Nothobranchius furzeri: one gene and its partner. The protein of the gene in region 1 interacts with the protein of each later gene in a biochemical or structural test. Links are inferred from orthologs where the notes say so. Each region holds a gene or a part of one and is shown on either strand. Other genes may lie near its edges.

Region 1 (7,523 bases):
GTCTTCCTGCATTTTTGTGAGCTTATGGAGCAATCCATCCCATAATAACTAATAACGTCAGAAGACACAGCTGGCATCTGTTAGAAACACAACTCTGATCTTTGAAATACTTTATGAATTAGTTTCTTCATAGGGAGAGACATATCCGTTTCCCTCTGGCTGCATCGAGTCTGAACCGACCATCCGTCGGTTTTAGTAAAATCCTAAACACGTTTTTTGTTGCCAGCTGGCACGCCAGAGGCAGAAAGCTCCCCAAAGGATGGACTGGGAATGGGAACACTCGGAGGTCCTTCAGAGAAGAACCGGAAGCTGCAGAAGAAGTGAGTTTGTTCTCCTTTCACTTCCTGTAGCGCGTTTGTATATTGAGACGAAGGCTGAAAGCTGAGAGAATTCCTGTTAATAATGTAGGAGTCCTCCTGTGTTGCTGCTGTTTGTTCACCCCCCCACCCCCACCTGACTCACCTCTATCAGCTGATCTTCCTCTCACTCCACACCCGTCATTCCCATCACAACCACCACCTAATTCCATGTTTTCCCTTTTGTTTGAGGTTTGATGCAGCTGTAATTCCAGCACCAGAAATGTTGTTTTGCTTCCATAAATTATCATCTGTTCATTTTTTCTTTTTTTCTGCCAACTTTTTTTCTTTTTCTTCTTCTTTTTTTTTTTTTTTTTTTTTTACCATCCTCTTCTCATTCCACGTGTAGTCCAAAGACTGGGTAAGTTGGTTCACGTTGCCTAGTCTTGCCTGATCTTCTTTCCTCTCCTGGCTTCACGTTTATCTCACCAGTAACTCTTCAGGACCCAAACAGCCGTCCCTCTGAATGCCTGACAGCTTTTCCGTGCTGCTCTTTTCCTGCTTCCCACACTGGAGCCGAACTAACAGGAATGTGTGTGTTCTGCTGTTTAACCAGTGCTCTCCTCCCGGAGCATGACGTTCCATACCACTAAGGAGGATTTCATGTGTTCTGATGTTGGAATTAAATAAAGTTCTTGTTTAGTCGATTTTGTGGTTGATAGGAGCCAACAGCCCCACCTAGTGGTCACCCATGAGATGTGTCTGGGCTCAGGATTGATGTGGAGCAGCAGCTCAGAACGTGCATGAAGTGGATGTGATCCGACCCTTGTTCTTCCTCCTGTGCATGTCGTGTCCCTGCAGATTTAGAGGAATGTTGTTATTAAACTGCTGGTTCTGACCGGTTCTGTTCCTTCAACCTGATATAAAATCCAGTTTTCTGCCTGTGGAGGCTCAGAGCTTCTGAAGGTGTTTAAACAAAGACCTCCAAGATGTTTCTGTCAGAGCTTTCCTGTTTGTTTGAGCTTTTCTGGGTTTTATTTCCTGTTCCTGGTTTCTTACGTGCATGTGACCTGGATGTTTCTGGGTTTGGGTTCAAAAGGTGAATGTGACGGAGTGCAATGTGGGAGAATTGTAGATTTTTGAAGTAATCCAAGTGTCACTGGTTCTTCCTACCTTCAGCTGGCAATCAAAAGTGATTTGGGTTTTTGTTTATAAAACCCAAATAGATCCCGACCCAAAGGAGACCGTGAGCTGTCTTCTGATTCAAACAGGAAGATTTTCATTGAGTTTCAGATTTTTTTGTAGATTAGATTAAATGAAGTTGCCTTTCAAAATAAAAGCCCAAAAATGATATTTAAGTATTAAAAATGTGATGGCCGATTGGCTGCAGTTTATTAAATATTGAAATTAGGTCTCATTTCTCTTTATTCAGCCTGAGATGGAAAATCTGAAGAATGAAAAAAAAAAAACATTTTGGTATCAAATTAAACTTGACTAAATAAAAAGTCTATTTGATTGTCTTTTGAAACCATAAAGGATGAATGATTGACAGAATGATGCTGTATGTGTTTGTTTCTGGGTTTAATATTTTATTTGTGTGACAGACACGAGTTACTGGAAGAAGCTCGAAGGCAGGGCGTCCCGTTCGCTCAGTGGGACGGCCCGACCGTCGTGGCCTGGTTGGAGGTACGAACCAGTATTGCAAGGCTCTTAAACCGGTTTAAAGTGTCCAACTGAGGTCGTCCCCATGTGTAGGACTCGTTTGTGTTTGTAAATATAAACTTATGAAAAGGCAGTAGAAACTGGCGTGAAGTAAAAGATTTTTTGTTTTCGCTTTCTGATTTAGAATTTCAGATTAGAAATGTGTGGAACTCATTTTTTATTTTATGGAGTGACTTTGACTCCGAATAAAAAACTAAACCTGAGTTTTAGATTTCACGATCGTATTAAAGGTGTGGCTCATTCATTTAATCAACACATGTGTAGTGCCATGTAAGTCGTACTCTGGGGAAACAAAGCTCCGGTGCACCAGTTTTTCTGGAACTAAAAGTGAGCCACTTCAGAGTTGAGCTTCAGATGGCAGGGTTTGGAGTCCTGTTTCCTGAAATGTAGATATCTCTCCTCTGATTGGCTAACAGCAGTGCAACTCTACCACTGACTCTTTGCTTTGCAACGTTCATGTTTTATCTCCACAAATAACACAAAGCTGGAGGAGCTCTGCTGTGTGGTGGAGTTGCTAATGCTAACAGTTTGCTTCTACTAGCTGAGACGTTCTCTGCTGTTTCCTGGATGCTAAACCAGCAACAGCCTTCCCCGTCGTGAGTCAAGATGAATGTTAAGTGACAGTGTGACACAGATCTGTCAGGATTATCTAATCCTAGAGTTTCGCCGTCTATTTTCTATCAGAAGCTAATGCAGGAGATAGATGTAGGAGACTATTTTCATGTTCAGCCTGCTTAAAAACAGTGGCAGATAATAATCAGAAATAACCATTTAAAATGGGGTTTCAGTGTTCCACACCTTTAATTTTACAGCTCTGAACGTCCACAAATCTGCCTATTTATCGTAAAAGTTTAATTAAGTTTAATCATTAATTCAAACTCGTTGGATTGTGCCTCTTGATTTGTATGAAGTGAAGGGAACATCCTGCAGAGCAGCTTCCGATGAGGAAGAACATAAAACCAGTTTCAGGACGTGGATTTTTTGACACCTTCAGATCCAGAAGTCACCACGTAGATCCGATCCTAAGCAGCTGGAAGCACAAATGTTAACAATAATCTCGTCTGACCCATCCGGTTCTTCTGTCCTCTCCGGTCCAGCTGTGGGTCGGCATGCCGGCCTGGTACGTGGCCGCGTGTCGAGCCAACGTGAAGAGCGGAGCCATCATGTCGGCGCTGTCCGACACGGAGATCCAACGAGAAATCGGAATCAGCAACCCATTACATCGTCTGAAACTCCGCCTGGCCATCCAGGAAATCATGTCCCTCACCAGCCCCTCAGCCCCGCCCACATCCCGAACGGTACCATTATGATCACACACACACACACACACACACACACACACACACACACACACACACACACACACACACAAGCATGAGACTTTTTTGTTTATTAACATTTTAACAAACTAATGATTGAGTCAAACTAATTAATTTCTATTCTTTTTCTAACAAACAAATTCTTCTTGATTTTCCCTCCGTCCTGCTTCTTTCCTGTCCATCATCCCTCTTTCTTTTTTGCACACTTGGGATGGGGGCGGGGGTGAAATGATCAGACCACAGGAAACGTTTGGGTCACACACGAAGAGATGGAGAGTTTGGCAGCAACGCCTCCGACGGTCAGTCCGGCCCAGATCAGCTGGGCTCTCTCTCTCTTCACTCGTTAGAGCGGGCGCCTCGATTTAAGCTAACCACACAACAGCCAGACATTACTAATCAATCAGCAGATCAACAGACTTGCGTGGTGCAGGCTTAAACGAGGCGTCGCTCTTTCAGCTATCTTTTCTTTGTGTTTCTGTCAGACCTCATGTGTCTGTATGTGCATGTGTATGTGCACGCTTATGTGTATTTGTGCATGTGTGTGTGTTTCTGCTTTCATTGGGGGTATTTAGTGTAGACATGTGCTTGTTAGTTAGCTGCCCACCGCTCTGATAGCTGAATTTTCTTGTTTTTTGTTCGTTTTAGTTTATAAACATCATCTCTGGGGGATCAGATCCTTCCACAAAAGCTCTTTTCAGACAGGCAATGCTTTAATTCAGACAACATAACCTGTGGTCATCCCTGTGTAAATGTTGAAAAGCCTCATGTCTGAAAGGAGCTTTGATCAGTTTTAAGTTAAAAATCAAACAAACTCTTTGTGTAATTAGAATTTGGCTCCTGATTTTATCTCCTTAATTTTATTTTACTCAGATTTAGTTTAGATTTTATTATTTCCTGGTGAATCGGCTCTAAGCAGCAGCGCCGCCGCCGCCTCCACTAACCGCTCACCTGTCTGTTCTTCTCACCATGCTCACGCTAACACCAGGAGGATGAGGAGGGCAGCTGGGCCCAGGTTTGCACACGACCCCCACCCCTCCACCCCCCACCTGTTCAACTTAACTCACCTTGTTTACACGTATCTGACACATGTTCACCATCACATCTAATCAGCCTCTTTTGGCTTATTTTAAAATGGTTGGTGCTGCTGTAACGGGTGAATTTCCCCAGTGTGGGATCAATAAAGTCTATTCTATTCTATTTAAATATATAAAATCTCCATAAACAGACTAAATATGAAACATTTCCTGATTACAACTGAACTAGTCATCCTTTTTGTGTTTGATGCAGTTCAGTGTAGGAACAGCTGAGTGTCACCATGGAGACAATAATCAGAACATCTTTAGTTCTGTTTAAAAACACTAAACCATCAGTAACAGTAATTTCAACGTTTCAGTTATTTATTTGATCCATACCTTCATGTCTGACCAAAGCTCCTCTCTGGCTGCAGACGCTGGCGTATGGAGACATGAACCATGAGTGGATCGGTAACGAGTGGCTGCCCAGTCTGGGTTTGCCCCAGTACCGGTCCTACTTCATGGAGTCCCTGGTGGACGCCCGGATGCTGGATCACCTGACCAAGAAGGACCTAAGAGGTCAGCTGAAGATGGTGGACAGCTTCCACAGGTGAGGAGGGTGGAGTCTCTGTCTGCCGTCTTACAACACAACATCTGAAAGCATAAACCTGTAACAGGTGTGCATATTTATAAATAACAGGAACAGTTTCCAGTGTGGTGTCATGTGTCTGAGGAGGCTGAACTACGACCGGAAGGAGCTGGAAAGCAGGAGAGAGGAGTCCCAGCTGGAACTCAGAGGTGTGTGTGTGTGTGAGTGTGAGATCAGGTTTCCTTTACTGAAGAACGTGAAAAAGTTGCTCAGATTGCAGAAAGGAAGCTGCCATGTTTGAAGACTTCATTCAGACCAAAGCAATCAATCAGTGTAAGCCCCGCCCACTGCCTAATGAGCAGTTTGTCGGAGTACAGCATCACAAAGCATGTAAAAATAAAATTGTACAATAAAAATGTATGATTTTTTTATAAATACAATAAATATCTTTATTAGAGACAGATTATGGATTTAATTCAGATTTTATTAATAACACATTTAATCAGTTATTTAATGCTTTATTTATTTTGTCACCGTTGTTCTCTCTATCCTACCAGCTTTGTTTAAATTGAATAAAAAATGCATCTTTAGACCATGAAACAGTTACCAATGGTTGCACCAACCATAGATTTACATGCTGTTGAAGGTTCTCAGTCATCCAGGTCATGGTAAATAAACCATTTGTAAAAAAAAAAAACAACAAAAAAAAAAAAAACACCTTCAATTATTTTCATCTTAAACACAAAAAGCAGCTGTAGGATCTCTTTAAAGCCTGTGTGAGTCGCTGGTTTCCATCTGAGGGTCTAAAACAGTAGAAGGTTCCTGTCCAAGAGCTCCACGAGGAACCTCCTCTGAGGCTCTTTGGGTGAAGATCACTAGAGGGAGCTCACGTTGGTTCTACAAACACATTTGCTTTGTTCTCCTTAGAAATAAAACATCTGCTGACATTTCAGATGTGTTGGTGTGGTCCAACGAGCGCGTGATCAACTGGATTCAGAGCATCGGCCTCAAAGAGTTCAGCAGCAACCTTTATGAGAGCGGCGTTCACGGGGCGTTGCTGTCCCTGGACGAAAGCTTCGATCACAACACGCTGGCTCTGCTCCTGCAGATCCCCACTCAGAACACGCAGGTATACACACGTTTACGGTTTACCTGTAGCAGCTGATATAGTGGGGGCGAGGTTACATCCTATGTAACTTTTCTAATAAGTGATTTTTATGACTTATTCAAACCTGTTTTAATGGATAATTTTAATACCCGAGAGTTCCTGTCAGAGTTTCCATCCCGTCTCCCTACATCGGCTCCGGGTGTTTCCTCATCCCTGCAGCTGCAGCTCATAGATCTGGATCCTTTATCTGTTTGACACAAGTAGATCTAAGTGTATGTGTCCTTTCAGGCCCGAGCAACTCTGGAGCGGGAGTACACCGGTCTACTGGCCATCGGCACAGACAGGAAGGTGGAAGAGGTGAGAAGAACTAAAGCCTGTGTGTGAAGCTAACTTCCTGCTGGTCTAATGATCAGCCCTCTATCTTCCAGGATGACGATAAGAACTTCCGCCGTGCTCCATCGTGGAGGAAGAAGTTCAGACCCAAAGACATGAGAGGGGTGTCGCTGGGTGTGTCAGACACCCTTCCTGCCAACTTCCGAGTGACGAGTAGCAGCGCGGCGTCTCCCTCAATGCAGCCAAAGAGGAGCCCGATGGACGGTAAGCGGAAGCATCACCGCCTCTTGGTGCATGTCTTTAAAACGCTCCGTCTGCTTGTTTTTTCCCGGAGTAAAACTACCCTGATGGACGTTTCTGCCCCGTTTAACTCTGCTTTGCTGCTCTGCTGGTTCTGTTTGATGCTGTGACTAATGGCACGTCTCTGCATGTGATTTCTGCCAACATGCAAACTCAGGAGGTCAGTCTATACAGAGGCTGGACACGGCCACAGTCAGGACCTACTCTTGTTAACACGCAACGGTAAGATCACACACACCAGCTGTGATTTACTGAGGAGTGTGTACAGAGCCCTGGTGACGCCTTTATGCTCCCCACTACGGGAACTGATTCAGTTTGAGGAGAAGATGAAAGGTAGCCTGGCCTGCGAGACTCCTCTGTTTAATTCTGCACAGAGAAAGGGTCTAAACTCTCCTATTCAAATAACCCCACCCCCTGGGAATTCTAACTGGGCCAATCAGGGCTGAGTAGCGTACGTCACACTGACTCGCACACCATAATGCCGAGTTTATCATAAACATGGCGACTGAAACAGAGTTCGCTCTTTCCTTTGTTCTAAATGATTTGGACACGTCTTTAAAACCACAACAAGTTGAAGCGCTAAGTTTTCGCCGTTGCCAGACGCCATTTTTGACTACAGCTAAAAAATGGCAGCGTCGTGGACGTCACACTCGGCGATGCTCAGTTTCTCATAAACAACGGAGACAGCGGCGGAGTTCGCTGAGGCTCTTTCCTCTGTTCTAAATGACTTGAATGTCTTTAAAACCACAACAAGTAGAAGCGCTAAGAGCCTTTCTTCTGAAAAAAAAAAAGATGTTTGCGCCGTTGTCAGACATCTTTTTTTTTACTACAGCTAAAAACTAC
Region 2 (7,523 bases), on another chromosome or scaffold:
TTTGAAGCGGTGATGTAAAAACTGACTGGCTGCCATATATATCAATCAAGTTTTACAGGATGGCTGATAGGCTGACATAATTTTTCATGAGATCTACCTACGCTACCTTTGCGATCGACTGGTAGATCGCGATCGACGTAATGAGCATCCCTTCTCTTGAGTGACAGTTCAGTGACCCGAAGTGATGTAGCGTCCAAGACTTCTTTTTTTTTTTCACCTTGGTCAACAACATACATTTTGAGCCCCAAACACATTATTTTTGCTGTCTGTAGTGTCTACTCAGGATCCAGAGTGAATAGTGATAATATATTTTATCTTTTCTTAGGCACTCTTGGTTAATCTGTAAGTTAAGCCACTTTTTAAGTTGGTTTTAACCAGACGCTAGCTCACTAGCTAGCTGCTAAGCAAGTCATTGTGCTAGCCTCAGGACAATGGTCTATTGCTGCAGAGAGACGTATTAAAAACTCAAGGCGCCGCCGCAGGCTCTACTGTGTAGCTCTTTGTTGGCGGCGAGGGCAGGTAAGCGATTACTACTGAACACGTCGTCTGGTTAGCTTAATGAGCTAGCAAGATACAGCACCACTAGCTGGTCAGTGACAACAATGAATTTAATATAAACTACATCAGACATTAATGGTCATTATTTGCAAATCATCCTTAAGTTGTTTTGTGTCACCTCACAATTTTTGGTTCAACACATAGTATGCGTAGAAAATAGAAAGCACAATCACACGTGATACTTTTCCTCCTCGCATCACTTCAGAAGCTTGATTTTAAATTACACTTCTATAAAGTTAGGAGAGTTATATCAGAGCACTAGCAGACGAAATGGGTCTTATTGTTAATTACTATTAAACATGGCCTGTTTTTATTTTCTATTGTACTGTATGTAGACTGCATATCAAGTTAATCCAATAATAATTATTCTAGTATGTAATTATTCCAAACCCCATGGCCTGCATGTCAGACAGCTAAATGCCTTGTATAGATACAGAAAATATATGTAAACATGCATAAAATAATAATCCAAAAAAAACTGTCATATACAATAAGGTTAAAAGCACTATATTATGGTCGTATAAGCGTATGTTAGAGCTTGGTTTTATTGTTCACTTGTATGTATATATATATATATATATATATATATATATATATATATGTGTGTGTGTGTGTGTGTGTGTGTGTGTGTGTGTGTGTGTGTCCCAACCACACCTCTCCAGGTCTCACTGTCGTTGCCCACGTGAGCGTTAAAGTCCCCAGCAGAACGAGGGAGTCATTAGAAGGAGCTCCCTCCAGCACTCCCTCCAATGTCTCCAAAAAGGCTGGGTAGTCTGAACTGTAGTTTGGTGTATAAGCACAGACCACAGTCAGAACCCGTCCCCCCGCATGTACTGTAGGCGGAGGGAGGCTATCCTCTCATTCACTGGGGTAAACCCCAACATACAGGCACCAAGATGGGGGCAACTAGTATGCCCACCCCTGCTCGGCGCCTCTCAGTGGGAGCAACTCCAGAGTGGTAGAAAGTCCAATCCCTCTCAAGGAAACTGGTTCCAGAGCCAGATCCATGCGTTGAGGTCATTCCGCATATATCTAGTTGGAATCTGTCAACCTCACACACGTACTCAGGTTCCTTCCCCACCAGAGAGGTGACATTCCACGTGCCAAGAGCCAGCTTCTGTAGCTGAGGATGAGACTGCCAAGATCCCCGCCCTTGACCATCACACACTGCACCCGACCCCTTTGGCCCCTCCAATGAGTGGTGAGCCCATGGGAACGGGGACCCACGTTTCCTCTTTGGGCTGTGCCCAGCCGAGCTCCATGGGTGAAAGCTCGGTCACCAGGCGCTCGCCAACGTGTCCCACCTCCAGGCCTGGCTCCAGATGGGGACCCCGGTGACCCGCTTCCGGGCGAGGGAACAGGATTTTCATTTATATTATTCATCATAAGAGGTCTTTGGGCTGCTCTTTGTCTGATCTCTCACTGAGGACCTGTTTGCCATGGGTGACCCTACCAGAGGCATAAAGCTTCAGACAACTTAGCTCCTAGGATCATTGGAACACTCAAACCCCTCCACCATGTTAAGGTGGCAGCCCAGGGAGGCCTCTTCCAATATGCCAACATTTCTGAGTTTTAGTCTTTTTACAAGCTAAAGTCAGACTTTGTCTTGCACTAAGAGGCTGTTTATGGCTGCAAGTAGTGGGTTCACTGTCGACAGCAGAATAAACCCCAGAGCTTTTTAGTGTGTCCTCTCATGACAACGCACTAAAGGGACCTTTATTAAACATCCTCAGATAAAAGTTGAGCATTGGCACTCTAAGCATGCTCATCTGAACTCTAATAGCAAAATGTTGCTGAGCGTCTTTATTCCCAGCTGGAAGAAAAATAACACACACATATACACACAGGCTTCACACCATCTTCTCTGTTTCATCTTTTCCTCTGCTAGCAACTCCATTCGAGTGTGCGGACAGGAAGTTTAGAGACATGTCTCCGGCTGCTGTCCCTCGGTGCTCAGGCCAACTTCTTCCACCCGGTCAGAAATCTAAGCTTCCAGTGGTACCATTTGAGTTGTGTTCATGGTTTACGGTGTTGTAAGTTCTTAAGTGTGTGTTTTGCTGATGCAGGAGAAGGGCACAACCCCGCTTCATGTAGCAGCCAAGGCGGGCCAGATCCTTCAGGCTGAACTGCTTGTCATCTACGGCGCAGATCCTGGAGCACCTGATATCAACGGGCACACACCTATGGACTCTGCTAGGTACAAATATAAATGCAGCTGACTGATTTCATCATGATATCTGATTTGAAAAACGCACAGATCTGTTTGTTTTTCAGGCAGGCGGGCCATGTAGAGCTAGCAGAGCGCTTGGTGGAGTGTCAGTATGAGCTGACAGATAGGCTAGCTTTCTACCTGTGTGGCCGACGCCCAGGTAACCTCTCGTCCCACAGTCAGTAGCATGGAGTTGTAGCTTTTTACACTGACTTGTTTTCTTTCTTTAGATCACAAAAATGGCCACTATATCATTCCTCAAATGGCTGACAGGTATGGTTTTAATTTGTTTGGGTTAATTTAAATGATTTTTGTAGTTCTCTGATTAATAAAGGCTCCACATTAGTGTTCTTTCGTCTGGTTGGATGATTTGGAAAACCTGTAATTTGGTTTTCTGACTACCAGGGGTCCCAAAGAAATTCCATGTGTGGACTTGCTGTTCAAACATCTTGTGTGGAGGTCCTGAACCTTCAGTTTCTGTGTGGGAGCTGGTTTAACTTCACTTGTTTAGTTCTGGTTCTCCTTGATCATTATAAAAGTTGTTTTCACGTGGCTTCTCTGCCTTCTTCCTGTCTGTTTCTTTCTCTCCTCACTGGTTTCCTGTTCTCTCATTTTTGCTGCGCTTGATGGAGCCAGAGCTCGTCCTAAGTGCCCGACACAAAGGTATCTTTACCTTCCTTGTTTCTCTCTCCTGCTTTTCTCTTCCTTTCTCTCACACTCCCCAACCTTTTGTATGGCTCCCCGTTTTGTTTCTTGTGAAGCTGATTTGTTAAAAATAAACAGCGTCTTGTGTAAGAGGCAGAGTTTAAAGGTCCTCCTGAGAACAAGGTGGTGTGCTTAGAAGTCCACCGGGAAAACCCTTTTCATCCTCATTTATCCACAATGACTTCCAGGACAAGGCAAAAACAAGAATTTCTTCTGAATATATTAAGAATTTAATTTCAGATGAGTTTGTTTATGAAACAGGATTTTAGCAGAAGAAAGTGAGTTTACAGCAGCAGGTGTCTGAGTAATTGCAGGGGGCAGGAGATAAATCACCCCATCCCCCCAATTGCATTGTTGGCCCTATCTCCTGGTTTCCTACCCATTTCCTCTCTATTGTCTGTCTTCTGCTCATCTATAAAAAAAAATTTACAACTGGCTTTGTTCTTTCAGTTTGGACCTCTCTGAATTGGCCAAAGCTGCCAAGAAGAAGCTCCAAGCGGTGAGTTTATGTTCCTAATAATACTGACTTGTCCATGTATTAAGTGACAATGTATAGTTTTTACCATTAATTAAATGATGCCCAGGTGTTGGAAAATGTTTGCGGCTTCTAGGGCTGGGCGATACGGAACAAAACTTATATCTCTATCTTTTAGCTGAATTCCAATATACGATATATATCTGGATATTTTTCCTCCTGTAAAATATTTACAAGTTAACTCACTTCAAGCTGTCTTGAGAAATTATAAACATAAATCAGTAGATTAAATGCATAAAAATGTATTGATTCTTGTCAAACTTTAACCTTAGTGCCTATTGTCTGGTACAGCTGTCTGCTAACACACACACACACACACACATACACAATTGAGAGCTAGAGGTGTATCAAATGTCCCACAGGCACTTTTTAATTATAAATTTATAATTATTGTAAAATTGTTTAAATGTCATCTAGAGGTGGCCATATCGTTTATTTCTTGTCCAGAGGAAAAAAAAATCTATCATGTTAAGCTAAGTTTATGATGATGCAATTGTATCTACTGAAGATCTCATGGGTCATGCACCGTGGAGTTATTAGTTATCAGGGCAAACATGGCTGGAGTCCAACAGTATTGGCTCATATCAGCGATTATACTGTAATGACTCAGAGTCTCTGATTGCTCTCTTATCAGTATTATAACCCTAACCCTAACCCATACTGAGTATTTACTAGCATAGCAAACCGGAAAAAAATGGAACCGGAACAATATTTCTCACCCGTTGAGCTCCCCTTCAAAATAAAACGTTAACCCTATAGTTTACTATTGAAATCCTTACAATACATTTGAGGTAATTTGGCCACTCCGGCTATCTGTAGATTTTCCCCGATTACACAGGGGAGGGAGGGGTTTAGCTCGTCTCCGCACGAGCAGGATGGAAAAACAGAACTCCGTTGGCATTGAACGTCCCTCAATAATTAAAAACCAGAACGCCAAATGCAAAGTTTAGAGCAGCACATTTACCCAGAGGCTCTCAGATTGAGCAAACTTGTGAGAATATATGTAATAACCGCTTAGAGACGGAGCAACATGTCGCTAGCATAGTGGCTAATCGCTAGCATTGCAGTTTGGCCAGTTATATCGATATGAAGATATAAAGTCATCTTGTTTCTTGTTTAAAAATTATATCCATATTTTAAAAATATCTATATATCGCCCAGCCCTAGCGGCTTCATAACATGTAAACAAAAATATCAGGTTTAAAAAACACAGGACCTTGTCTCAGTCTATGGGCGACGCCACATTAGACTCAATGTTTACATCTACGTCAATGCCAATGAGGACAAAACGCATTCACTGATTTGTTACAAGCCGTTTATAAACATTTTTGTTTTACACATTTGCCTCTTTGCTCGTTGCATGGGATGAAAGGGAGTCTGATGTGCTTGTCATTTTGCCGGAGTTTAAATTATTTGATTAAGAACTCTGTCAAAAAATGCGCTCCCAGGGATTTTTGACCCTAATGGACATCCGTTGGTAAGGTTTTACCTGGACAAGAAAATACCACTTGCTGGAAATGATTTTGGTATGTGCTGCCCCTACCACCAGGAGAAGTACATCTCATCACTTTAATGCGTCAGGCTTTATAGACCATCCATCCATCCTTTGTCCACATATCCGGGGTCGAGCCATGGGGCAGTAACCTAAGTAGAGAGGCCGAGATTTCCCTCTCCCCAGCCAATTGAACCAGCTCCTCCAGGGGAATCCCAAGGTGTCCCCTGGCCAGCCGAGAGACATGGTCCCTCCAGCATGTCCTAGGTCTTCCCTAGGGTCTCCTCCTGGTTGGACATGCCTGGAAAACTTCATCAGTGATGTGTCCAGGAGATATTCTAACCAGATGTCTGAGCCACCTCAACTGGCTCCTCTCAATGTGGAGGAGCAGCGGGCCTATTCCGAGCCCCTCTCAAATGGCCGAGCTTCTCACCCTATCTCTAAGGGAGAGCCCAGACACCCTTCGGAGATAACTCGTATTGGCCGCTTGTATCCGTGATCTAATTCTTTTGGTCACTACCCTAAGCTTGTGACCATAGATGAGGGTTGGAGCACTTATCAACCAGTAAACCAAGAGGATTGCCTTCTGACTCAGCTCGCTCTGCACCACTACATGCTGTTACAATGTCCACATCACTGCAGACACTACATGTTCTGATGAAGACAACGGGACCACATCATCCGCAAAAAGCAGAGACCTGATCCTTAGGCCACCAACACGGATTTTCTTAACACCTTGGCTGTGCCTAGAAATCCTGTCCATAAAAATTATGAATAGTGTAACAATAAAGAGTGAGGTAACTATCTAATATTGTGTATTTATAACACTGTAATTAGATCTAGTTTTATAATCAGAAGATGGGCTGTTTTTATCATCAGGGATTTTAATTAAACACTCTGTATTGACTTTGAGACAAGAAAAGAGAGAGAGTTGGGATCGTTTAAGAATCTTTAATTTCTTAATTATAAATTCTTAACAATCTACCAGGACTAACTCTGTGTTGTTTGGAAATGAATGTGATGTTCGATGTGTGTGTGTGTGTGTGTGTGTGTGTGTGTGTGTGTGTGTGTGTGTGTGTGTGTGTGTGTGTGTGTGGTTGGTTCAGACTCCTTAGGCTGACGTCCTTGAATCTGGTAGTCTGATTGTTATGACTAGATATCACGAGGCTTATAAAGTGATGACATGAGCTGCTATTTTGCCGTGTACGTACCCAGTGGGGGCCTCCCGGGTAGATCAGGAAATGCCAGGTCTGAAGTCCTCGGATGTGCGCTGGAGCTGGTCGAAACAGCGATCGCAGCGTTTCAAAGCCCGTCTGAAGGGTCGACCCAGGTAACAATCGGCAGCGTCAGCAGGTGCTCTTATTTTGAAAGGATGTCGTCTGGTTGTTAAACGACGAAAATCTCCAACTTCACAGTTCTTAGTTTAAAGAAGAAAACACATCTGGCCAGGCTGTGCTTCTCTTTGGGATGACGGTGAATAGAACTGAAGTCAAAATGGAACTGAGCTTAAAATGGCGTTGCCTTGTTTTATATCTCTGAATTGTTGATAAGTTTTAGTAAAGCGGATTGGACACTTTAAGTCAACAAGCCAGATTCTCTTGCGGCAGCCGAAAGCTTTGATTGGTTGGAACAATGTGTCATGCGTTTCTATGGAGATGAGGGTCAGTCTGTCTGTGCAGTAGTCCTGTTTTCATTAAACACATAAATCATGACATCTTTATTCCACAGATCATTCACTTGATTATTATTGATCAACATATGTTTCGAATAGCTTTAATCACAAATTAAGTGCTTTGATTATTGAAAAGCGTTCTTCTTCTCCTTCTGGCTCTTCTCCTGGAATGTAAACAGTCTGAGGAACACCCGACCTTGGCGTTTTCTACACGGGCGTTACTGTGTACAGGGGCAGCTGTGTGGAGCTGAAAATAATTAACTTCATAACGTTACATATCCCCCCTTTTCAAGGTCAATGTGGTCCTTCAAGAGACCACTTGGTCGTTGAACAAACCCAAGTTATGAAGAAT

What was found.
Region 2: the proteins of ppfia1 (region 1) and git1 form a complex in vitro, tested with the Homo sapiens proteins (2 studies listed by BioGRID). The link is inferred for Nothobranchius furzeri from reciprocal best matches to the Homo sapiens genes PPFIA1 and GIT1.

What each region holds. Positions count from the first base shown.
Region 1 is NC_091749.1:65,248,432-65,255,954, reverse strand, and holds part of ppfia1 (liprin-alpha-1), read left to right. Parts: intron 1-226; coding exon 227-320; intron 321-1,900; coding exon 1,901-1,982; intron 1,983-3,115; coding exon 3,116-3,316; intron 3,317-3,573; coding exon 3,574-3,636; intron 3,637-4,322; coding exon 4,323-4,349; intron 4,350-4,784; coding exon 4,785-4,960; intron 4,961-5,050; coding exon 5,051-5,148; intron 5,149-5,892; coding exon 5,893-6,068; intron 6,069-6,335; coding exon 6,336-6,404; intron 6,405-6,475; coding exon 6,476-6,644; intron 6,645-6,837; coding exon of another isoform or gene 6,838-6,893; exon of another isoform or gene 6,894-6,902; intron 6,903-7,523. UniProt on the Homo sapiens protein: May regulate the disassembly of focal adhesions. May localize receptor-like tyrosine phosphatases type 2A at specific sites on the plasma membrane, possibly regulating their interaction with the extracellular environment and their association with substrates.
Region 2 is NC_091753.1:16,381,976-16,389,498, reverse strand, and holds part of git1 (ARF GTPase-activating protein GIT1), read left to right. Parts: intron 1-2,446; coding exon 2,447-2,533; intron 2,534-2,624; coding exon 2,625-2,755; intron 2,756-2,832; coding exon 2,833-2,927; intron 2,928-2,997; coding exon 2,998-3,040; intron 3,041-3,403; coding exon 3,404-3,430; intron 3,431-3,922; coding exon 3,923-3,971; intron 3,972-7,523. UniProt on the Homo sapiens protein: GTPase-activating protein for ADP ribosylation factor family members, including ARF1.